Linked DNA regions of Rhinolophus ferrumequinum. Each later gene encodes a partner of the first gene's protein in a complex. Links are inferred from orthologs where the notes say so. Each region holds a gene or a part of one and is shown in the gene's direction. Other genes may lie near its edges.

What was found.
Region 2: the proteins of stromelysin-2-like (region 1) and TIMP2 are in contact, whole or in part, in a crystal structure (PDB 4ILW), measured with the Homo sapiens proteins. The link is inferred for Rhinolophus ferrumequinum from reciprocal best matches to the Homo sapiens genes MMP10 and TIMP2. Residues at the interface, in NP_002416.1 of Homo sapiens: Glu155, Asp169, Phe170, Tyr171, Ser172, Pro176, Gly177, His178, Ser179, Leu180, Ala181, His182, Ala183, Tyr184, Pro185, Pro188, Gly189, Leu190, Tyr191, Val214, His217, Glu218, His221, His227, Pro237, Leu238, Tyr239, Phe242; in NP_003246.1 of Homo sapiens: Cys27, Ser28, Cys29, Ser30, Pro31, Val32, Gln36, Ala37, Asn40, Ser57, Gly58, Asn59, Asp60, Tyr62, Asn64, Pro65, Ile66, Lys67, Arg68, Thr91, Ala92, Pro93, Ser94, Ser95, Ala96, Val97, Cys98, His123, Leu126, Cys127.
Region 3: the proteins of stromelysin-2-like (region 1) and TIMP1 are in contact, whole or in part, in a crystal structure (PDB 3V96), measured with the Homo sapiens proteins. The link is inferred for Rhinolophus ferrumequinum from reciprocal best matches to the Homo sapiens genes MMP10 and TIMP1. Residues at the interface, in NP_002416.1 of Homo sapiens: Phe170, Tyr171, Gly177, His178, Ser179, Leu180, Ala181, His182, Ala183, Tyr184, Pro185, Tyr191, Asp205, Ala206, Ser207, Gly208, Val214, His217, Glu218, His221, Phe226, His227, Thr231, Tyr236, Pro237, Leu238, Tyr239, Asn240, Phe242, Thr243; in NP_003245.1 of Homo sapiens: Cys24, Thr25, Cys26, Val27, Pro28, Asn37, Leu57, Tyr58, Pro87, Met89, Glu90, Ser91, Val92, Cys93, Arg98, Thr121, Cys122, Cys155, Leu156, Ser157, Ile158, Gln173, Leu174, Gly177, Ser178, Glu179, Lys180.

The regions. Positions count from the first base shown.
Region 1 is NC_046294.1:72,226,640-72,234,720, reverse strand, and holds the start of stromelysin-2-like, read left to right. Parts: upstream 1-5,063; 5' UTR 5,064-5,121; coding exon 5,122-5,226; intron 5,227-5,998; coding exon 5,999-6,243; intron 6,244-6,341; coding exon 6,342-6,490; intron 6,491-6,676; coding exon 6,677-6,802; intron 6,803-8,081. UniProt on the Homo sapiens protein: Can degrade fibronectin, gelatins of type I, III, IV, and V; weakly collagens III, IV, and V. Activates procollagenase.
Region 2 is NC_046304.1:52,689,851-52,697,570, reverse strand, and holds the start of TIMP2 (metalloproteinase inhibitor 2), read left to right. Parts: upstream 1-4,693; 5' UTR 4,694-4,996; coding exon 4,997-5,126; intron 5,127-7,720. UniProt on the Homo sapiens protein: Complexes with metalloproteinases (such as collagenases) and irreversibly inactivates them by binding to their catalytic zinc cofactor. Known to act on MMP-1, MMP-2, MMP-3, MMP-7, MMP-8, MMP-9, MMP-10, MMP-13, MMP-14, MMP-15, MMP-16 and MMP-19.
Region 3 is NC_046284.1:86,405,903-86,413,491, reverse strand, and holds the start of TIMP1 (metalloproteinase inhibitor 1), read left to right. Parts: upstream 1-4,545; 5' UTR 4,546-4,581; coding exon 4,582-4,717; intron 4,718-5,566; coding exon 5,567-5,695; intron 5,696-6,425; coding exon 6,426-6,505; intron 6,506-6,820; coding exon 6,821-6,947; intron 6,948-7,172; coding exon 7,173-7,297; intron 7,298-7,589. UniProt on the Homo sapiens protein: Metalloproteinase inhibitor that functions by forming one to one complexes with target metalloproteinases, such as collagenases, and irreversibly inactivates them by binding to their catalytic zinc cofactor.

The DNA.
Region 1 (8,081 bases):
TAAGACAATGTTGGTTTGGCCAAGTTCAAACGTCATTTTGCCCAGTTCAAATATTTCAAAGCTTCAACGATTGAAATGTGCAAGGCTCTTCCTCTGGAAAGGCTGCTCTAGCTCTATTTTAAAATGGCTCCACTTATGTCAACTTTTCACAAGGCCAACGGCCTTCCACAATTAGGCCACAACCTATCTACTCACAACATTATTTTTCATTTTTCATTCCTAGCTTTCACACAATTTTTACTTCAGTAAAAAAAATTAACTCTGCCATTTTCCATGTAGACTCTAAACTATTCATGACTGCATAGTGGTTTATTCTGTTCCTACATTTTCCTCCTTGTCCAAGTCATTTCAGGTTCCACTCTTTGTGAATTTTTCTATGGGCTTTTTCTAAGGTAAACACATTTTTTTCCTGCATAATGCCTATACAACTTCTTTCTTTATTCCTTGTAGAATTAAGGGGTCATCTCCTCTATCAGATTATATCCTTCCTTCTTTCATTTCCTTCTTTCATCTTTCCATCTTTTTCTATTTTTAAATAACTAATTGGTCATTATTTCTAAATTTCTCTTTTAAATAGTATCTCCAAATTTACATTCTTAGTTTGGGTATTCTGAAGAATTTGACCCAGACACTTGATAAATGAATGTTCAGCTGAAAGAATGGTTATATCAGTTGGAGATAACAAGGATCATGTGTTATCTTATCTGATTAGTCATGGAGAAGCATGATACACAGGGAGACAAATGTGAAAAGTCATCAGACAGAATGCTACTTAGACTTACTGTCAGCTTTTGTATCCAAGTTTGGATTACATTGAATTTAAGTTTACTTCCAAGTCTCTGATTCCTGGAAGTCAGATTTATAAAGCTGGTCTTTATCTGACCCTTCTATGTATTTAGCCATATGACAAATGACTGTTCTGCGGGGGGGGAGGGGAATTTTCTTTTTCTGATGTTCACAGCTCCCCTCTCCATTTAGTGTATTTACTCTGTCTCTTCCTTCTTTCTTCCTTTCTTTTCCTATCCCTCTCTCACCCCTCCTTTCCTTTTCTTCCTTCCTTCCCCTCCTTTTCCCTCCTTCTTTCACTCAGTTGCTCTTTAATGTACCTATTCCTTCTCATTAATGCATTGCCTTTTAAAATGTAATCTACAAAATAAAACTTGACTATCTCATGCATTGCCAGAAAACTCCCTGATTCTAGAATCTTAGTTTGGCTATTCCACAAACATAGGATGAGGATTTTGAATATGTAAGTCTTTGATTTATTCTCTTATTAGAAAGACTTAAGATGACAGCTTAAACTTTTTCTGAGAAAACGAAACTTCTTTAAAATTCGGTTATTAGGAGAGTTGGTCAATATCACATGTAAGATCTGGGAATTTAGAAACATATGCATGATTTGTGAATTTTTTGACTTTTCATTTTGACTTTTGCTGTGAGCCTTTCATTCATAATTAATGTATTAATTAATTATCTAAGCAATTTTGGGGTATCTTTTATACAGAAGGCATTGTGTTAAGTATTAGGAATACAGAAATAAATGAGAAGCAGTTCCTATCCTCAAGAACTTATGGTAATATAGGGGAGGGTATAAATACACCATTACACTACAATTCAGTCAGAATCAGCAGCAACGGAGGCAGGTACAAGATACCATTAGAAAGTAAGTAATGAACTATTCCTGGGGCTTGAGGAAGAACTCTCAAAGAAGTCTCTGAAGCTGCTTTAAAAGATGACAAAGTTCTGCCTTTGGCAGACTTTTGTGTATATTTCAGGGACAATATGGTACATTTTGCCAATTACATTTGAACAGTTGGGAAAATAATCATAATACTTGTAAGGCTTCCTTCTAAACTTTAAATATGTTTTATAAATTTTGGTACTGGAGAAGTATTGCAAAACCTTAATCTAGAGGAAATTGACGATTGTGGCTGCCACAGCTCTCCTACTTTTAATCTCTCACTTCCTTTTCTGTCTGACTCCATCACCCTTTCGTGGAATGCGTTTCCACTACAGGGCAAGGCCCTTAGCTATCCTGACATCAGTGTGTGAACAAATATTTCCCCTTTATTTCCATCAAGACAAGACACAGACCTCCCCCCACCCACCAAAGGAATGTAGAACACGAGTTTTGGAATGTTTTTAGACAGCATCTAATCTAAAAATGGATGCTTAAATTTGATGTATAGCTTGTGCCGAGTGGTCCTCAGGCATCTGGACATCTCCTGTTACAGGGATCCTATGACTGAGGAATCCTATTCCATTTTTTATACATATTGGATGAAATCTCTCCTGTGTTTATTAAGAAACATGCAAAAATAAAGCAAAAAAAAAAAGGCAAGAAAAGAAAATACAAAAATTTTGCAAGTGGGAGGAAGCAAAACCTACACTTATTAAATGTTCACTAAGCGCACAATTTTTCTTCTGCCTTCCCCTCACCCCCCAACCACTCCAGTTCAAGCCGTTGTTTCTCAGTCTAGTTGTGTAGGACACAGCTCCCTGGCCCATGCTGGGATTATGAGCCTTGCTCCACCCCCCTCAACCCCCAACCCCAGGCAGTCGGTTCCCCGTGGCCACTCACAGCACGTAGCAGCTCAGGGCAGCTCTCACTGCATGTTAGCCGCTCTGGCTGGCCTCAGGCCCTTCATGGCAGTACATGGTAGCCTACAGCAGCACACAGCAGCCCACGGCAGCACACAGCAGCTCACATTGGCTGCTGGCCACTCACACTGGCCACCAACTGCTCCTGATGACACACAGTAGCCCACGGCAGCTCACGCCAACCTCTGGCTGCTCATGGCAGACCAGCTTCAGGGAGAGCTGTTGTTCACAATCTTAGCTGTAGAGGGCGCAGCTCACTGTGCCATATGGGAATCCAACTGGCAGCATTAAGAGTACGGTTGCTCCAACCACCTGAGCCACCGGGCCAGCCCAAGTGCACATTTTTATTCACTATTTTACTTAATACTCATTCCCAGGATGTTCTGTTTTTAGTAAACAAATAAGCAAGCATACAAACAAAGAATAAAAAGGGTAGTAATGAACAAAACTGTTGTGTACTTACTGAACATTTAATAAGTGTAAGCTTTACTCCCTCTGATTTGCATTCCTTTTGCATTTGCTTTTTTTGTTTGTTTTATTTTTTGTAAGGGTTAGGACCAGTGGGAGAAATGAATGGGTGTCTGATGGCAAGAAGACTGTAAAAAGTTTCACAAAGGTTCTTCTTTTGAGAATATTTAGTGCTTCCTACAAGCATTTAGTATACACAGTTGTTACTATAAGACCCGGTCTTATTTTCAGGCAAACACGGTATGAGTAGTATTCTACTGACAACGAAAAAGAAAGAAAAAGAAGCAAGGGAAGGAACATAAAGGGGAAAAAAAGGAAAAAGGAGAAGACAGGAATAGAGAGAAAAAAAGATAAGCAGCATGGGGAGAGAATTTAGGATGGCTTTTCTTTTTTTAACTTCAAAGTATCTACTAATTTGAATTTAGGGAGAAGGAAAAGAAATTGAAAGAATTTTTTAAAAGTGTAGAAGATAGAGACAGAGGAGAATTTTAGTCCAGTAAGCATGTAATCCTTTCAATTCTACTAGTATTTATGGAACTGCTATCACAGGTCTGTTGCTCATTAATAAACTGGGTACAGAATTAAGACCAACCAAAAGAGAATGGATACACTTCTGTTTTCTTCAGAATCTTTGTTCTATCCTGCCTCTGAGTTTTTCTGTAGTCACACAACATCCTAGCCGTTTGTCCCCTGACACCTTTCCTTAAAGAAAGAAGAGTCTGTGGTACTGCACTTCTCTGGGACTGGTTACATCCTGTGTCTCTCTGTTTGGTCTCCAAAAGGAGGGTTTGCAGCCAATGACGAGTAAGATTCCCCATGGAGGGGGGGAACAACTCAATCCAGGCGGAACCCCACAGAGACCCCCATGAGCTGCCCTAGAAGATCTGGGAAGGAGCCTTGCCTCCCCTTCCCCCATGCTTGAGAAAAAGCTGCTGACTCTGGCTGCTCCCTCTCACCTAATTGTGAGAGAGGTCTTTAGAGTGATAAGATCAAGCTCTTTCTGCTCAGCTCATGCAATTGTTTCACCAGGAGAGACTTTGCCCCCCAGCGAGGTACATACTGCACCTTAGTAATTATGGGACTCTATGCTTCAGCTGTTTTGGGACAAATAATTTCGGTTTGAGGTAGTTTTCTGATGTAGTGGATGACTTTCACAGACCGTGTCTAAAAGAATGCCACTTCCTTGTTTGTGATCAATAAAAGCCATCAATCCGTCCAATTCGGGGCTCTAGTCTTTCGAGGCTCCGAGACCCTTGGCTCTCTGAGATTTAACCGCATTGAGTCTCTGTTTCTCTCTTTCTTAAAATACTTAACCCAAAGCCGCCTCTTCTCGCCTCCCCACAGACTGTGTTGCACTGGACGTGACATTTTGCCTCCTCAAGGATTAACAAAATCTAGCCAGAAAACAATAATAGGTATTTCAAATCAAATACACACACACACACACACACACACACACACACACACACACACACACACACAAATGAACTCTCCTTTCCAATTTTATTGTACATGTTATTTCTTCCACTTTTACAGAATCTAATAGTCTAATAGTACAGACTATAGCTATATATGTACAGCTTTTCATTTACTTAGGTCTTATAACATTTGATTTTAAATATGTTCTTCTAAAACTGCATTTAAAAGTTCTGCACAATTCTGGCTTTTTACCAAATCAGCCTACTTCTCTCAAATATACAAACATAAGTTGTCTAGTAAATTCCAGTTACTTTTTTCCAGAGGAAAAAAAGCCCTGTTTTTCTCTACCAAGACAGGAAGCATTCCCTGGAGAGGTTCATCATTATTTTGACTCGCAAAATTAGAAAGGTTGAGAGAAATTAGTAAAGTATCTTGTATCATCCTATTTTGGATTTGGAGGTTTTGGAAGTGGTCCAGCTGCTATGCAGGTGACAGCAATCATGAGTCAAGCTGTGCGTGATCTAAAGGAACATTGTCACCCTATAAAAGTTGGGCTCTAGACAGTGGACCTAGGAGAAGACAGGCAAAAAGCAAGGCACTAAGACCACACCAAGCTGAGTAAAGCGAGTGGAAATGAAGAACCTTCCAATGCTGCTGTTGCTGTGTGTGGCAGTTTGCTCAGCCTATCCACTGAAGGGAGCTGCCAGGGACGGGGATGACAGCATGGACCTTGTTCAGGTAATTAAGGGCAATACATTCCACACTCACTCACAGGGCCAAGTGGGAAAACCCTCTGTTTTCCATTCATAAACCTCATTCAGAGTGGTTTGAATTGCTGTGCAGGAGTAGTTCAAGGACAGAGAGTTATGAAGTGTTTGATGTGAAAAGGGTCTTGGTATCACATTATTCCGGCTTCTCCTTTCAGGGATGAAGAAACAAAGGTGAGATGGATGAGGTATTTCCCTAAGATCACAGACTCCATAATAGCAGCAGCACTGGGCTTGAGACACATGAACAAGGGGAGAGTTTGCAAAATGTGTCTTGCTTTGGAACTTTTTTAGATATCTTAATGTAAAATTAGCTAGATTTTTACATTGCTAGTGTCATGTTTAGACACAGGGATTTGTCCATGTTTTTTCCTAAGCCAAGTTCTTGTGAGACCAATGAAGTGGAAAATTGAGGAAACTAAACAAATGTACCTGAAATACACAATTAATCCCAAAGAAGTCTTTCAGTTTCTCCTTTAAGTGCACCAAATATTTATCTAAATTTTCCATTTCATTTTCATTGCTTTGGTAGTAAACTAAACTGTAGAGATTATTTAGTTACAAAGACAAAGCAAAGGTGAAGAGGAGTCTAATTGAAGAATGAAAAATAATATGACACTGATTTTTATTTTAGCAAACTGGAGGAATATTTGAAAAAGATTAAGTGAATAATTGCACAAGTGTACTACAAAAGGCTAAAAATCATAAGAATGACCTAAAATCTATACTTATTATCCCATTAGCACTACCTAGAAAACTACTACAACCTCGAAAAAGATGTGAAAGTCTTTGCTAGAATACAGGACAGTAGTCCTGTTGTCAGAAAAATGCAAGAAATGCAGAAGTTCCTGGGGTTGAAGGTCACTGGGAAGCTGAACTCCGACACTCTGGAGGTGATGCAGAAGCCCAGGTGCGGCGTTCCTGATGTTGGGCACTTCAATACCTTTCCTGGCATGCCAAGGTGGAGGAAAACTCACCTTACCTACAGGTAACGGGTCCCAAGAGGTTTTCACAGAACACTGAGACTTTATAAATTACTATCTCAGAAGAAAATATCATCTTCCTCAAATGTTCTCTCTCATACAGGATTGTGGATTATACACTGGATTTGCCAAGAGATGATGTTGATTCTGCCATTGAGAAAGCTGTGAAAGTCTGGGAGAAGGTAACTCCACTTACAATCTCCAGGATTTATGAAGGAGAGGCTGACATAATGATCACTTTTGCAGTTAGAGGTAAAAAGAAACAACAAACAAACAAACAAGACCCATGAAATGCATCCATTTGGCTGGTGGTGTTTTATTGGAAAGGATTCCAAAGAGATTCCTCATCATTAAGAACAATTAGCTTTCCAATTAAAAAACAAACAAAAACAAAATACAAAACACCAAAAACAAAACAAAACACATGTTCTCTCTTAGATCACGGAGACTTTTATCCTTTTGATGGACCTGGAATGGTTTTGGCTCATGCCTACCCACCCGGGCCGGGGATTCATGGAGATGCCCACTTTGATGATGATGAACAATGGACAAAGGACACATCAGGTTAGTTATACATTTCTCAGAACGATTCTGATGCTTTTAATATTTGGAAAAGTCTTAATAACTAAGAACATTGAAGAAATGGGTTGTTTTGGATTGTCCGATGGGTCACAGACCAGCAGACGGTAAGTATTTTTGTCATAATTATTATTGAAAAACGTTTTCAGATGTCTAAAAAGTTTATTCTCTGTCTTGGTGAGCACAACATAGGGAGCATCATTAAGTATTTCTTTGATGACTATGGATCTTTTGTGATCTTAGAATCATCATTAAAAACAATTTCTCATATCAAATTGTAGCTATCCAAGGGTTAAATTTACACTAAGTTGTGCCCTGGATACTGTTTATATCCAACTGGGGAAATTTCCCCCTATGACTTCTATACTCTTCAAAACAGAAATGAGAATTAAATTCCAGAAACTGAGGTTCCAGTTTAGGTTTATCTGGTTAAATGAACAATTTACTCTCTCTAGGTTAAAACAAATTTTATGGGCTTGTTCTGAAGGGAAGGGCTAACTCCGAAATAAAAGGTCCAAACCTTTCAGGTAAAAGAATGTTTTTCATTTCATAACTGTATAGTTTGAGAATGGCTTCCAAAGTTTTCAAACAATTGGTTAAAACAAATACTTCTACTTCTGAAATTTAATTTGGATTTATAATCAAAATGCAAACAGAATCTCTGTAGAGAGAACAAATGTGACGTTAGTGCTGGATAAAATTATTTGTTGTGATTGAATTAACAACTTCTTGCTCCAAATGGACAGTCCCAAAAAGTCTCAAATAACAACTTTAAAAGTAAAGTCAACTTACTTGGTATGTCAATCATAATTACCCAATGCCTTCCAATTTCAGTATTCTGTGTTTTTTTGTTTTGTTTTGTTTTTATAAAAAAAATGTAATATGAAGAAAAAAACCTGAGTAGAGGTAGTGTTTGTTTGGCCAAAATCTCTTTTGTGATCAATGCTAGACATGATTGGGCGTATTATGTTTTAAATCAATCTTATAGATCCAATGACCTCTATCATTCTTAATATTTTTGAACACAATATGTGCTGAATAATCATCATGAGGCTGAAAAGTTGTGCAGGCAATATTCCGATGTCAAATAACATTAGTAAGATTGTTTAAGGATTCCAGAATTGAAATGAAGAAACTGTGATTCATTTAATTTAGATTGTGACTGGCAAATGTCAGTACATTGAAACAATGTTTATCTTTTCATTGACAAATGAAGAGAAATATTTATTGATGCGCTAAACCAGTAGGTTCATGCCATTCCAGA
Region 2 (7,720 bases), on another chromosome or scaffold:
GGGGATGGAAAGAGCTTGGTGCTGCTGACTGCAGGGCTGGCCTCACCGGGAACGTGAAGCACCCCCAAAGAAGAGAGAGCCTGGGAGACAGCAGCAGGGGAAAGAAGACAAGGCAGGAACAGAGAAAGAAAACGGTGTTGGGGAGAGGGAAGGAGAGAGAAAGGGAGAGGGAATTCTTGGGCACAGCCCTAATCATAGCCTTGACATGAAATGTACTGCTGCACTCAGCATGGGACCTCCGCCAACGCCGCCAAACCAGCCCTCTTCTGTTTGGATTAGGCGGTGACATCATGGCCATGGGCCCGTCACTCCCGACACCAAAGGAAGGGAAGAATGGCGGGCAGGCGGGAAACCTGAGCCTCCCGCCTCTGGGCTTCCAGGGAGGGGAACCTGAAACTATGAAAACTCAGCCTCAACAAACCCCTGCCGAGCTGGGCTGCCCTTCCCCAGGTGTCCCACCCCTTGCTCCTGGACAGCCCTTGGTCCCCAGAACCCAGCTGAGGCTGCTTCCTGGAAGCTGGAGATGGACGGGCGCTGGGTTCCCATCTCTGCTCCCTGGCCCTGCTCCCTAACCCGCCCATGACAGGAAGCACATGACCACATGCCCAGGGCCAAGAGGAAATGCCCTGGGCATGAGAAAACGCACAGCAGCAGGCCTGAAAGGAGCGACTGCTTACATTTCTCTTACTCCTTTGTTTTCCCGACGACGACGTCTGAAGGAGGGTCTGAGGAGGCCCAGTGCAGGAGCTGCAGGAGGCACACAGGTGGGGCTGTGGGAGGTGGCAGAGGAAGGCAGAGCTCCGTGTGTGCCCTTCTGGGAATGGTGGACCCTCCCTCAATCCTGGAAGGAAGGCGTGCAGGACAGCACCTTCTGAGTTGGGGGAGGCAAAACGCATCTGCAGGGAGGCGAGGCAGTGCCATCCCAGAGGCCCCCAGAACAAGGTTGGCCAAGGCTTCCCTGCCTGGGGCTGATACCGCTGCTGCAACAGGGCGCCTGCCTGGAGGAGGTGTTCAGGTGCCTTCAGTCCGGGCTGTCTGCTCCCAGATGTTTTCGATGCGCCTGTCTCTTCAAGTCCATGACTTCTTGGGCTTCCTGTTGACAGCCTCCCTCCCTCCCTTCTTTTTGGGGTCACTCTAGACTGGACCATGCAGCCCCAGCCCTGAAGGCTTGAGTTCCGTGTATTGGGGAGCAGGAGTTGATATCCAGACAGGTTTGCAAGGTGGAGGCCCTGGCTCAAGGCTGCCTTTGCCCCAAAGGGTGCCTGCCTGGGAGGAGAGGAAAGGGGGCAGGTGGCAGGTGTACAGGCAGAGAGAGGCCAAGCCCCACTTTCTTTAAGATGCCCTAGAGGATGACAAGAAATGCAGCCATGGATGCAGCAAAAGAACCCCCAGTGGGAGGCGTGAGCCAAGAGCAGTGTTGGTGAACGAGTGGGGTCGTTTGAGAGTAAAGGCCTTGGGCCAGTACAGTTTCGGTGCTGGGAGACGTGCCCCCCCAGACCCATGTGCCCTTGAGCTGCAGCCAGGCAGGCTTTGGTGTTCCACAGACAGACAGCACAGAGAAACCCGTATTCCTGCTCTTGGAGCGGTCCTTTTTAGGGTCCTCCTCTGGAAGTTGTTTTTCCTGCACAAGGAGGAGGATGTGACATCTGTCCTGTCACCTAAGTTCCCGCCACCCAGAGCCACTCCTCTCACTTTTTGCAAACACCTTTTTCTACACCTGTCTATATCCATGCATATGTTTCATTTCACATGAATGAAACATTATCCATGCTATTTACTCATGGGCGCCTTTAAAGGACAACCTTTTCACTATCCCTTGCTTCCCTCCCTCCCCTGAGAACCAGTGTGGACGGGTGGTGCACCCGGAACACACACTGACGTGGGTTTGCTGCTATGGGCATTACTCTGCTCGACCTTGACACAGGCGATGGAACTTTGCATTTTGCTTTTCTAAAGAGCCAAGATTTTTATTAGTTTCCCTAAGTGAGGGCTTGTCAGCTGGGGTGGTTATGCTCCCTCCCCCACCCACCCCCCAGGAAACACTGGGTAATGTCTGGACATGTTGGGCTGTCACAACTTGGGATGGGGTGCTATCAGCATTTAGAGGGTGGAGGCCAGGGATGTTGCTCAATACCCCACAGAGCCCAGGGTGCCCCCCCCCCCAATGCTGTAGCCCAAGGTCAGCAGGGCCGGGGACTTGGAAGCTGGCCCTGGCTGCAGAGCATTAATGATGAAATTGATGAAATGAAACAAAAATAGGAACATGCTTCAGAACGTCCACCGCTGACCACAAAGGCTTATGTGGAGTGTGCAGGGAACTGTTGCCCATCTTTATGCTGTAGGTGGCCCAGCCATTCTTGACTCCTTGTCATCTTCAGGACGTCCTATGGCAAACAGCCCACCAGGGAATGTTGGGGACAGATATCTGGGCTGGGAGATGCCACTTGCCTCCTGTTGCCCAGAGTTGACAGAGGGGGCCATCGTGACCCTGAAGTCAGCTGTCCGTTCCTTTCTGAGGAGACGCATCACAAACCACAGAAACCTCCAGACAGCCAGGCAAGAGACACCCCCACCACCTCCCCCTACAGCCACCCTCTGCCTGCTGCCCCCAGACCTGCCCAAGACATTTCCACCCTTTCGGGTCCAGCTTCCTGCGTACGGGGGGCCTATTTTGATGCCCACACCCCGTAGAGCATCTGGCTTTCCAGAACCTGCTGGAAGAAGTGTGGGGGCTCAGCTCAGCACCAGCTCTCTCTAGGGAGAGAACACTCCGGACATGGGAGGAAATGGATCTCCTGCAAACCGGAAGATGAGTCCACCAGGAAGACATGCTTCCAACTCTTGTCCAGACTCACTGGATGGAGGTCACCTCTTGCCCAGGCCTGAGAGGTCATCCTGACTCTTTTTACCTGAGTGGGGTGGGAGGGAGGAGGCCTCGGCGCTTCCTCCTGGCCCTGGACAACATTTACTCTGCCAAGCCAAGCCCAGGATGTATTTGCTGGGTGTGCTCAGACCTGGGCGGGAAGGCTGACAGCTCCGCGGGGTTCTGCTGGGCTCTAAATTGGGAAAGTCTCTTTGGGGGGAGGCAGGTGAGTGTACCTGGTCAGAAGTGGTGGCCCCAGGGGTGTGGTCTGAGGGTGCTAGAAGCCAGCCCCTCCCCAGCTGGCCTAGCAGGCAATGCTCCCTCCTGTCTATCCTGAGTTCTGCTCTGCTGGGAGCCACACGTAACAAGCCGAGGTCCTGCAGGCTGTAGTCAGATGCACACTGCAGGGAGCGGTGTCTCCTGTGTGGCTCCTCTGTTCGCCCACTGCCAACAGTAAAGTAGAGGAGGCCGGTTGGGAGACAAGGTGCGCCCCGGGCTCCTCCCACCTGCTTCTCTCTCTTGCCTGGGTTTGAGGCAAACTGACCCCATCCTCCCTCCTTGGGGGTGAGGTCAGAGCTGCAGCCCTTTCCCTGAATTTCTCCCGTCTTGTTGCCCCCCTCTTGGCCGTGGAGCAGAGAACATGTAACACTACTCTATTTTACATGAACAAAGGCCGAAAAAAGTGACTTTGGGTTTTTGTCAGGGTGCTAAAAATAACTCCTCTGCCTATTTAACTTTTCTTCAAGTTGTCTGTTTCAAAGGACACATAAGTAGAAAGAAATGATTTTCCACTCTTTAAATATTTTCCAGTTTCACATCTCAAGTCAGCACCACACAGTTCAGCAGGCAATTATTCTTTAATTTCCTCCCTTTACATCTCCCCAGCTGGATTCGAAGCATCCTGTGGGCAAGAGGGAGGGTCTGTGTGTAAGAGCGCCCACTGCAAAGGGATTCAGGGCAGGCTCAATGACAGGTAGACAGAATCCCCCCGGGGTCACACTTCACGTGCCGGGTCCACACCTCTAAGATCTTCTGCCCTTCCTGGAACACAGAACTGTTTTGGGAAGAGTTCTACAGCTCCCACATTTGTGGGCTAAGGGAGGGAACTGTGAGCAGAACCCAGCAAATGCTTTCATTCAATCCTACCACCTCCTGGGCTCCCGGGCCCAGCCCCCTGGCTCTTGTGGGCTGGTCAAAATATGGCCAGTTTATATAAAATCCTGTTTTGTTCATAGTAACCACTCCTGCTCCCTTACCAACTAAACTGACTAAGCGGCCTTAAAATTCTGAGGCCTCCATTTGAAAAATGAATCCTCAGTAAGTTTCAGGAGGCCACCGACCCACAAGGAGGCACGGGAGGGGGCCGCAGAGAATGGTCCCTCTTCCGAAGCTCACACCCCTTTTGCTCAATCTCTGGCTAGAATCTAAGGGCCCCCAAAGGTGGAAGGGAATCAGGCAGTGTACACCTCCCATACCAAGCTGGAGGGGAAGGGGTAGGGGTGGTGGGTGGGCTGCCTGGTGCCTTGGGGGGGGGCTTCGAGTCCCAAGTGCTGAGTCAGGGCCGCCTGATGCGCTGTCCTCCTCGCATCCTGCCCCCCACTACAACCTCTGTCGGTTTGAGAGGCTGCGGAGTGCTGCCTAGGGCGGTGGGAAGCCAGGTGCGCAGCGGCGGGCCCCCCAGGGCACAACAAAAGCCGAGTTTGGGGTAGGGCCTGGGAGGCGCGGGAGGCGCGGGGGCGGGGCCACTGGAGCCCCTGGAGCCCCATTGGTCGTCGGCCACTGGAGGCGGAGCCCGACACCCTCCCAGCTCAATAAAGAGCCAGGTCGGTGCAAGCTTGCAGCGCACACATCCGTAGAAGGTTGTGGAGGAGCTGGGACCCGCGCCACACGCGCTCGCTTCGCCGCCCCCCACCGCTTTCTTCTCCGCGCTTCAGCCGCGCCCCCGCCCTCGCGCCTCCCCCGCGACACAGACCCGGGAAAGTTTGTGCGGGCGAGTGCGTGCCGGGTGCGGAGGGAGCGCCCGGGAGCGCAGTGAGACCGCGCACCGAGTCCGCCCAGAGGGGAGCGCCCCGAGCCCAGGCGGCGGCGGCCGAGCCCCGAGCCCGCGCCCCCGGCCCGCGCCCCCCGCCCGCCATGGGCGCCGCGGCCCGCAGCCTGTGGCTCGCGCTCGGCCTCCTGCTGCTGGGGACGCTGCTCCGCCCCGCCGACGCCTGCAGCTGCTCCCCGGTGCACCCGCAACAGGCGTTTTGCAATGCAGATGTAGGTAAGAACGACGACCCGCCCAAGCCTGGTGGGTGACCTCCCCCGCGGGGCTCGCGGGACCCCCGAGGGTTCGCAGGAGCCCCGCCCGCCTTCTGGCCCTCAGCGCCTTCTCGAATCCTGCAAGTTGACGCCAAAATCGCACTTTCTTTTCCCCCTTCCTCTCCCTTTCTTTCCCTCTCTGCCGAGATGCTTCTCAACCTCAAAATTCCACCGAAATTCCGCTGCAGCTCCAGCCCCAGAAAAGGGAGCCAGGGAACGGATTGGGTTTTGGCAGGCGAAGGGCCCTTGGGATGCCAGCGCGGGGGTGGGGGATAATGGGGGACACAGCGTGTGTGTGTGTGTGTGGGGGGGGAGTCTTGGCCTCTGTGGGCTGGAGGGCTGGGGACCCCAGGAAGAAACTTTCACAGGTGAAATGGCAGTTGGGCTCCTCTGGGCTTGGGGTTGGGTGGGGCTGGGCCTCTCCCACCAGCCCCGTTTGGGGGCTCACCGGATTAAAGGGGGGGCGGGATGAAAGCTTCCCTCCCGCGGGCAGGCTCCAGGGCTCAGAGGGGCCGTTGGGAGAGGCCTGCAGAACCCGTGGGCTGGCCCCTTGCTCCGTGTTCTGCCCAGGAGGGTCCTTACTGCTTGCTGCTGGTGACTACTTTTCAGGACACACCAAAACTGGAGACCTTAGTGACTGGAAGCGGGTAGGTGGGGTTGTGTGGCTGCTTAGAGCCCCTCGGAAATATCTATTATTCTCAGGACTTCTTGCCCCCCAGAGGTGGGAGCTAGGGAGGGAAGAGAAACCCACTTATTTGTTCTGGTCCTCAAGGGGCAGCAGGAATGGGTGGAACCAGCTGGGCCCCAGAGGTTCCCATCCAGGTCTGATGCTTGCAGGCTTCACCAGCTCTGGGGAAGGTCAGCCAGCTTGTCCTGGGGCAAGTTCAGTTTCACCAGAAGGACAGATGCCCTGCAGGTGGGCGGGCCTCTGCAGCGCCCTTTGACCTCTCAGTAGCTTTATTTTCTGTTCCTTTGTCGCAGCTGGGCTGCACTCACCTGCATAGGCTCCAAGCTGGGGTTTCTGGGTTCCCCCGTTGTCAGCCGTGCCTCCTGGACTCCTCCACACCCCAGCTGGCCCTTTAAGCTGCCTCTGCGGCCTAGCCTGGGCAGCCTTCAGGTGCTGCCACCTGTGGTATCACATGGCTCAGGCCACCTGGGCGTGGGGTGTGCTTGCTGAGTAGGTTCCACAAAACCCTAACTGGGGGAAGGAAGGTCTGTTCTCTGATTTGGTTTTGAAGCTCAGCAAGATTTGAGGGGGCAGGAGAGGTTCCTCCGTTGGGAGGATCTACCTTCCCGTGGGGTGTCCCCTGGACGTCCAGGCCTGTCCAGGCCCCTTTGCTGAGAGAGAAGCCATGCTTCTGGCCACCAGTTGTGGCGCAAAATAAGGCTGAGGCCCAGAAGGCATCATGGCTCTTGAGACTCCCCGGCGTGGCTCACAGGAGCCAAGGGGACAGGGGCTGGGCCTTGGGACCCCCTCACACTTCTCAGCTGCTCCTGCCACTCAGTGCTTGCCCAGGGCGGGCTGGGGCTGGGGTTTGGATCATGGGCAGCAAAGGTCAGGGTTGGGGAGCTTCATTATGCCTGGAGGCTCCTTCTTGCTTTGTGTGTTACTCTCTCCTCCGCCTGGATCTCCCTTGTTTGTGTCCAAATTATTGCATCAAAATCATGGAGCCTTAATCCCATCGCAGCCCGAGGCTGGGAGGGCGGGGCCTGCAGATGCCAGAGTTTCAGGGCAGAACCCAGTGTGTTAGACTCCAAGGGCTGTTGGAACAAACTGCTACATACTGGGGGGCTTCAAGCAACAGGAATTGGTTCTCTCACAGTTTAGGAGGTCTGCAGTCCAAAATCGAGGTGTGGGCAGGGCTGGTTCCTTCTGGAGGCTCTGAGGAAGAATCCATCCGGGCCCCTCTCCCGGCTGCTGGTGGCCCCAGCGGTCCTTGGCCGGCAGACGCATCGTTCCGCTCTCTGCTCTGTCTCCACATGGCTGTTTCCTCGGTCTGTGTCTGTGTCCAAATCTCCCTCTTCCTATAAGGACGCCAGTCATTGGATTTGGGCCCACCCACATCCAGCATGACCTCATCTTCACTTGATCACATGTGCAGAGACCCCGTTTCCAAATAAGGTTCCATTCACAGGTCTGCGTGGCCATGAATTTGGGAGGATGCAATCTGAGCTAGGCTGTCCAGTCTTGTTCCACAGTCAGCCCTTCCCTGTTTGGTGGGCTGGGAATACCGAGCTGAGACATCCCCGGGCTGGCCCTGGAGGGCCTGGAGTAAACCTCGCAAGGAAAGCAATGGCCTTTTCACGTCACTGCTCCTTTAATGGTGCAGGTTCGGGAATCCCTCCCCATTCCTCCTCTTGGGCTGAGAGCAGAATTGCCTGGGATCTTTTAACGATCACTCAGGTCTCAGTACCCTTCGCAGATGTAGAGTCTGGCTCAGACCTCTGCTTTTACAGTTTTGAATCCCCACAGGTGACTTTGTGCCATCAGAACTGTGGCCCAGGGTTCTGGAAAAGGATGATAGCCTGGTGCATGTTGGGGGATGCTAAAGGCTG
Region 3 (7,589 bases), on another chromosome or scaffold:
CTAACTCAAAATCAAACCCAGAGCCCTGTCTGTCTGGCTCCCCCTCCACCACCCCCAAGTTCCAGACTTTCTGCCTCTGCTTGGATAAGGGTGGGAGCCTTTTCCGGAAAAGGGAAAGTTTGTTTATACAGTGACTGGATGATAGAAAAGTGAGTGTGCATGCCTGGGGCTGTGGTCGTGAGCATGTAGCAACTGGACCCTTCAGCCAGGCCTTGCATGTTAGCCTTGTCCACATGCATACACAACCTAGAGACACACACACAAATCCCTAGAACTCAGATCTACACGATCAAACCCAGAGATGCCCACGCAGGTTGAGACCCATGAGATGGAGAGACCTGCAACCAACACAGGCTCCAGAGCCCACGTTGCTCTCCAGCTGCACCGGCACCCAGTCATTCAGCCCAGCGCTCCAGGCCAGCCTCCTTGCCCAGCAGCACACACTCAACTGTTTTGGGCGCAGACACATACACAGCCCTCCTCCCATCACCCAAATCCACACAACAGTTAGAGGGACACACACAACATGAAGGATTACCCATGCAATACAGAGACAACCCTCAAGGCACAGCCACAGAACGCAAAGGCACACACAACTCGGACAGGCACACACAACAGAAGTGGACACGTAGTCAACACTCACAGACACACACGCAACACTCCTAGGCAAACTCACAACAAACAGAAGGACCCACTCCACATACAGAGGTACACACACTTCTAGGTATTCACAGAACCACTGAGACCCATAACACGGACACCCACACCACACTCCTGGGCACACAGAGTATCTAGGGACATGCACACAACATGCCTTGTCATATGTACAAACGGAGAGGCATACACACAGCTAGAGACACCCACATCCCTCCTAAGCATACACACAACACTTGGGTGTGTGCATGCGCGCACACACACACACACTCATTTGCTCACACATTCAGGTACAGGGATATGTCAAGTCTCCCTGATCCTGGGCGGGAGAGAGGGAGCTGAGTTGGGCGACCCCAGCCCCACACAGTACAGGATGCACATGGGGCTGGCCGTGCCCGCCCTCTGCTGTGCAGACTGCTGCCCCACAGCGTAGAGATGGTATTCCCTATTCCCGGAGGGGTGGCGAGGGCGGTGGCGGTTCCCGACAGGCACAGGAAGCCCGCAGGCTCAGGGTGACCGATTGACCTTCAGGCCTTGCCCGCCCTCCTTCCCGCATTCCCACCTTCCTCATTTCCCAAATGACTGTCGTCATTATGGGGCGCTGAGAGGAACCGTGTGGGGACGGGCTCGCGAGGATCGTCTGGGTAGTGTTGCAGGGAAACACTGCAGAAGCAGCGTGTGATGTGTGACGTAACATTCAGGCAACACTCAGCTCACAGAGGGGAGCAACACATCCACAAGGATATGTGCAACCTAGACCCGCTTTACAGAGGCACACACAACTCCTAGAAGCAACACAAACACACAGGGCTACACACACCCAGGTCCACACATACACCACACATACCACCACCTAAAGGCAAACATTCGACTCTCAAAGGCAGAGACACAGCAGAGAGCTGTGCACAAATGCACACACACAAGCCCAAATTTTCTAGGCTCCTCTTTTCCTAAACCCTCCTTATTTCCTCTGGACCTGAGCCTGAACACAACACTGTGGATGTGTATCTGTGTGTGTCCACTCGTGTGTCTGTGTGTGCCCGTACGTGTGTATGTGTGCCTGTGTGCCCGCACGTGTGTCTGTGTGCCTGTGTGTGCCCGCATGTGTGTCTCTGTGTGCCCACACGTGTGTATGTGAGTCTGTGTGTGCCCACACGTGTCTGTGTGTGCCTGCACGTGTGTATGTGTGTGTGTGTGCCCGCAGGTGTGTCTGTGTGTGCCCACACATGTGTGTGTGCAGGGAGCCCTGCACTCTGGGATCCCCTAGAGAGCCCTAGCTTTGAATCTTGGTCTCTCTTCCTCCTAAGGCCATGGGGGATCCTAGGCAGGTCACTTAATCCTCTCTGGGCCTCAGTTTCCTGATCTGTACAAAGGGTACAATCAGGCACAAGCACTTAGTGTGCTATGGGGATTGTCAGGTGTCTGCTCTGCCTACCTAGGTGGGCCCCATGGCCCCCACGGCCCCCACGCAGCTCCCCAGATGGTCACACACATGGACACCCCTCCATGAAACCCTACCAGTTTCAAAACCTGCACAATAAACCAGATCCACACAACCCCTCACATGTAGACAGTCGGCGAAACTCTGTGCTGACTCATGTTTCAGAATCACAAAGCTGGCGTCAGAACCAGCTTTGGGTCAGTGAAGTGCTGCAGCAGGACTTTCCCTTCTTTCACTTCTTCCTTTGGTCCCGACACTGACTTACTCAGCCCCCTGTCTCATTCACTCTCACTCCGCCACTTTCACAATCAGCTTCTCCAAATTCCTGGTTTACTTCCTCCCCTACTTCAGAGTAATTTCTTCACTCTCATTCCTGGGCAGGTCACTCAATCCTTTGTCTCAGTTTCCTCATCTGTATAATGAGAATATGAACAGTCTCTAACTCACAGGGATGTTGTGAGGAACCAATGAGTTGTGAAAAATGCTCAGCACAATACCTGGCACACAGGAAATCTGCATCCTCTAAAAGTGCTGGGACTATTATTATAATAGTGCTGGGTACTATTATTGGTAAGCCAACACTAATTAACCAGGAGGCAATCAGGATTGACTGAGAGATAAAATACTAAGATTATAGAACGGTGCTTGATAACCAGTAAGCACTCCTCAAGAGCTGGTGGTAGTTTTTATTGTGGTGGTATTGTTGTTGACTGAGTTAATCCAGCTTAATTAGCCAGGGGGTATTGCAGATTGAATGAGAGAATTTACACAAAGACTTCAGGGCACAGTACACAGTAAGTGCTCAATAAGTGATGCTAACAACTACCATTATTGTTATTATTGGTCTGTCCTCCTTGAACTAACGAAGGATGTCAATCTGCCCTCAGAGCCCTTTCCCAGGACCCCAGGGAAGATTCAGGCAGCATCTGGAAGCTGTTGGGCAGGGATTGCCTCACCCCACCATCTACGTCTACCGGGGCGTTGGCGGGGGGTTGGTGGGGCAGGGGCAGGGCAGGACGGGAGGGTATCAGTTTTCTCCTGACTCACTGGCCTCTTTCACCACCATTCAACTCCCCCCACTCCAATGCTCATTAATTCACTGGCACCTTCCCGCTTGCCAAGCCTGCGTTAAGATCCTGGCTCCAGTTGGCCTAGGTTCAAATCCCAGCCATTCCCTGTGATCCTGGGAAAGTTCTTCAATCCCTCTATGCCTCTTATTTCCTCATCTGTAAAATGGGAATAATGTTGGTACCCATCTCAGAGGCTTATTGTGAGCTTTAAAAAAACCGAATTATAGTTGACATACAATATTATATTAGTTTCAGGTGTGCAATATAGTGATTCGATATTTCATACATTATGAAGTGATCACCGTGATAAATCTAGTTAGCATCTGTCACCATACAAAGTTATAACAATATTATTGACTGTAATCTCTGTGCTGTACATTGCAGTCCCCTGACTTATTTATTTCATAGCTGAAAATTTGTACCTCTTAATCCCCTTCACCTATTTTGTCCACCCCCCATCCCTCCTTTTTTTTGACAACCACCAGTTTGTTCTCTATCTATGAGTCTGTTTCTCTTTGGTTTGGTTGGTTGTGTTTTTAAGATTCCACATATAAGTAAAATCATGCGGCATTTGTCTTTTTCTATCTGATTTATTTCACTTAGCATAATACCCTCTACTAGATCCACCTATGTTGTCACAAACATTGTGAGCTTTAAGTGAGATAAATGATGTTGAGTGCCTGGTACACAGTTGGTGCTATGTAAATGCTGACTATTTGCCTGTGTTTTTTGAGAGGTCATTAAGACCCAGGCTCTGGCTCCAGGCCACCTGAGTTCAAATCCCAGTTCTGTCCCTTATTAACTGTGACCTTGGATAAGTCACTTCATCTGTCCATGCCTCAGTCACTCCAGATTGTATTCTTCCTCCATTCACCTGCTTTATCTCCCTCCACTGCTTCTACTCAGCCTCCTCTCTGCCTCCCCAACCCTGCACCAGGATGTCGGGTGTATCAGAGAGGAATTTTTGCTTTTTCTTCTTTTTTTTTAAGGAGGGCACAGCTCACGGCGGCCCATGTAGGGATCGAACAGGCAACCTTAGTGTCATCAGCATCACGCTCTGACCAACTGAGCTAACCCACCACCCCTCCAGAGAGGAATTTTTGTGTGTGTTTGGCATACAGTAGGTGCACTAGAAATGTTCACCGACGAATGAACTAATTCAGGCTTCAGCCATGGGGAGTTTGGGGGTTTGTGGGTGATTGGATAGACTTTGGAGAAAGTTTGGAAGCTTTAGGGAATTGCACGGGGGGAATCCTGCCTCTAAGCCCTCCATTGAGGCCGCCTATGGGGCCGATTTGGAGATGGGGGAGGGGGATGACCAGGGCGAGGCGCAGGGGGAGGGAGAGGAGGGTGAAGCCCGTTTTCGGCAGCCCTCGGCCCGCCCCTTGGCCTCCACTGATGGTGGGCGGATGAGTAATGCGTCCAGGAAGCTTGGAGGCCTGTGGTTTCCGCACTACTGCCACCCCCGCCCCTCGAGTGGACATTTATCCTCCGCTGCTCTGGCCCTGCCGCCATCACTGCAGACCCAGCGCCCAGAGAAGCTACACCGAAGGTAGGCAGGGGCCTGCCTCTGTGGCAGCAGGGCCTAAAGCAGAGCTCGAGCTTTCCTGCCTCGGCTGCCGGACACCTGGCTGCTCAGCCTGGCTGGGTGGGGGTGGAGGGGGGTACCAGGACCCTGGGCTGGTCAAGGGAAAGGGGGGGAGGGTGCTGGAACTGCTCCCCCAATCCCGGCACTCCAAACTCCTCCGAACCCCTGACATCCATCCCAACTCTCCCAAACTCACGAAACCCTAATACAACAGAAGCCTCCTAAGCGGCCAACTGCCCTGAACTCCCTCATTGCCCCCCAAGCCTCCAGACTCCTAAATCCCCAACTCCCTAAACCTGGAGACTCATCTGCTCCCAAATCCCTCTGGCACCCCCACCCTCTTAAACCCCCCAAGTCCCGCAACTCCCTAAACCCCCTCAGCCTCCCCAACTCCCCCACCTCCTCTCTCTCTCAATATGCACAACTCTGAAAGTCCCAACCTCCCCCAAATTCCTCCAGCTCAAAAACCCCAAATTCCTCACCCCAACTCCTCTCAACTTTCCGACTTCCCCGACCCCCCTAAATCCCCTAACACCACAGCCCCATAATCTCCCCCACTCACCCAGTCCCTTAAATCACTCAAATTTCACAACTCTGAAACTCCTGACCCCCTAAACTGTGGGCTCTCAAATCCCCACCCCCACTTAAAATCCCCAAACTCCCCAACCCCTTAATCCCAAGTACAGTCACCTCATCCCCCTCCAGGCTGCTTGGTGGTGGTGGTGGGGGGGACAGGATGGGGTGGGAGGCCTGCCAAGTCTGAGGATCAGCTGGGCTGGGGGCCTCCCTGACCCCTCCTCCCTACCTCTGCAGAGCCCACTATGGCCCCCTTTGCGCCCCTGGTCTCCGGCATCCTGTTGTTGCTGTGGCTGGCAGCCCCCAGCAGGGCATGTACCTGTGCCCCACCCCACCCGCAGATGGCCTTCTGTAGCTCCGACCTTGGTGAGTTACCCTACTCTGCCCACACGCTCTGTGCTTTGTTTTCCGCCTCAGTCCATTGGGGTTCACGACAGGGCTCACCTCTAGAACAGTTCCAAACTCAGCCCTACCCTGACTCTGCTTTTGCCACACTGGCAACCTCATGGTTCCCTGATTACTCCAGGTCCAGTCCCAGCTCACGGCCTTTGCACTGGCTGCTCCCTCTGCCTGGTACCCCCTTGGCCCCAGGTATCCATATGGGTGGCTGCCTCAAAAGTCACCTTCTCAAAATTTTAATCCCTGTTTCCTAATACTCCTGATCCCCTTTACCCAACTCTGAAGTCTCCCGTCATACTTAATACCTTCTAACATTCCATAGACTGATCTATTTTGCTTGTGTTTAGTCTGCCTCCTTCTGGCTAGAATGTGAGCTTCACGAGGGAAGGGATTTCTGTGTTTTGTTCACTGTTGTGTCCCTAACACCCAGAACAGTGCCTAGCACACAGCAGGCACTCTAGAATATTTGTTGAGTGAATGAACACGTGATGAATATATGAAAAAGGCTTAAAGCAGTGCCTGGCAGAGTAGGCACTCAGTATATAGGTAAAGCAATGAACAGAACTATTAGTGTGTTGTTTGGCATCCAGTGATTGATATCTATGTATGTGCTTTGTTAGCATGACTGTTGTGATTGTTTTAGTTTTATTGGCTCACGTAGTTCATTTGACTCATTTTACCCCCTCTTCTCCGGCAGTCATCAGGGCCAAGTTCGTGGGGACCGCAGAAGTCAACCAGACCACCTTATACCAGCGTTACGAGATCAAAATGACCAAGGTACCCTTACTGCACTTTCCTCAGCAGTTCCTAACATCTTTCTCCCTGTCAAAGAGAGAGAGAGAGAGAGAGAGAGAGAGAGAGAGAGAGAGAGAGAGAGAGAGAGAGAGAGAGAGAGAGAGAGAGAGAGAGAGAGAGAGAGAGAGAGAGAGAGAGAGAGAGAGAGAGAGAGAGAGAGAGAGAGAGAAAGAAAAGCCTTTGGCTGTTGGTTGGTGAGCAGGAAGTTAGCTGTGATCTCAGGATGCTGGTATATGAAGAAGATAGAGTGGGAGGATTATGTCAGTAAAAGAGACTCTTCCCCTCATCCATCGACAGATGTTCAAGGGGTTCAGTGCCTTGGGGGATGCCCATGACATCCGGTTCGTCTACACCCCGGCCATGGAGAGCGTCTGTGGATACTTCCACCGGTCTGAGAACCGCAGCGAGGAGTTTCTCATCGCTGGTGAGGCCCCGCCCCCTCGCCCTGGGCCACGCCCACCCGTTCCTCAGACGCTGCTGGGTATCCTGGGCCCGGCGAGGCTCTGAGGGAACGGTCCCAGTTGAAATGGGGACCGCCCCCAGCCGGGTCGGTGCTGCAGGGACGCCAATTAGGCGCCGCCCTGACCCCGGCCTAGCCAATCAGAAGCTGCCTGTTGCCTCAAACCACCCCCCCCCCACCACCCCGCAGGACAACTGTGGAAAGGGCACCTGCACATCACCACCTGCAGTTTCGTGGCTCCCTGGAACAGTCTGAGTTCTGCTCAGCGCCGGGGCTTCACCAAGATCTATGCCGCTGGCTGTGAGGAATGCACAGTGAGTGCCTGGGCCCTGCCCACTACCTGGAGAGTGCTCCTTGGACTCTTCCCCAAACCGTGGCTTGTTTCTTGCTCCCTCTAGCCATTCCTTGTCCCTTTGGCTGCTCCCCAAATCCTTGGGCTGTCCCTGATCTCTCCTGCTGTTCCCCCAGGCCTGAGACCGTTCGCCTAACATTCTGGTTGTACCTTTGCTTGGCTTCTGATACCTGAGGATTCGCTGTTCCCTGGACTTTCTGGCTGCTTCCTGTCCCTCTAACTCTCCTTTGCTACTCTTCTATAGTCCTGATGTC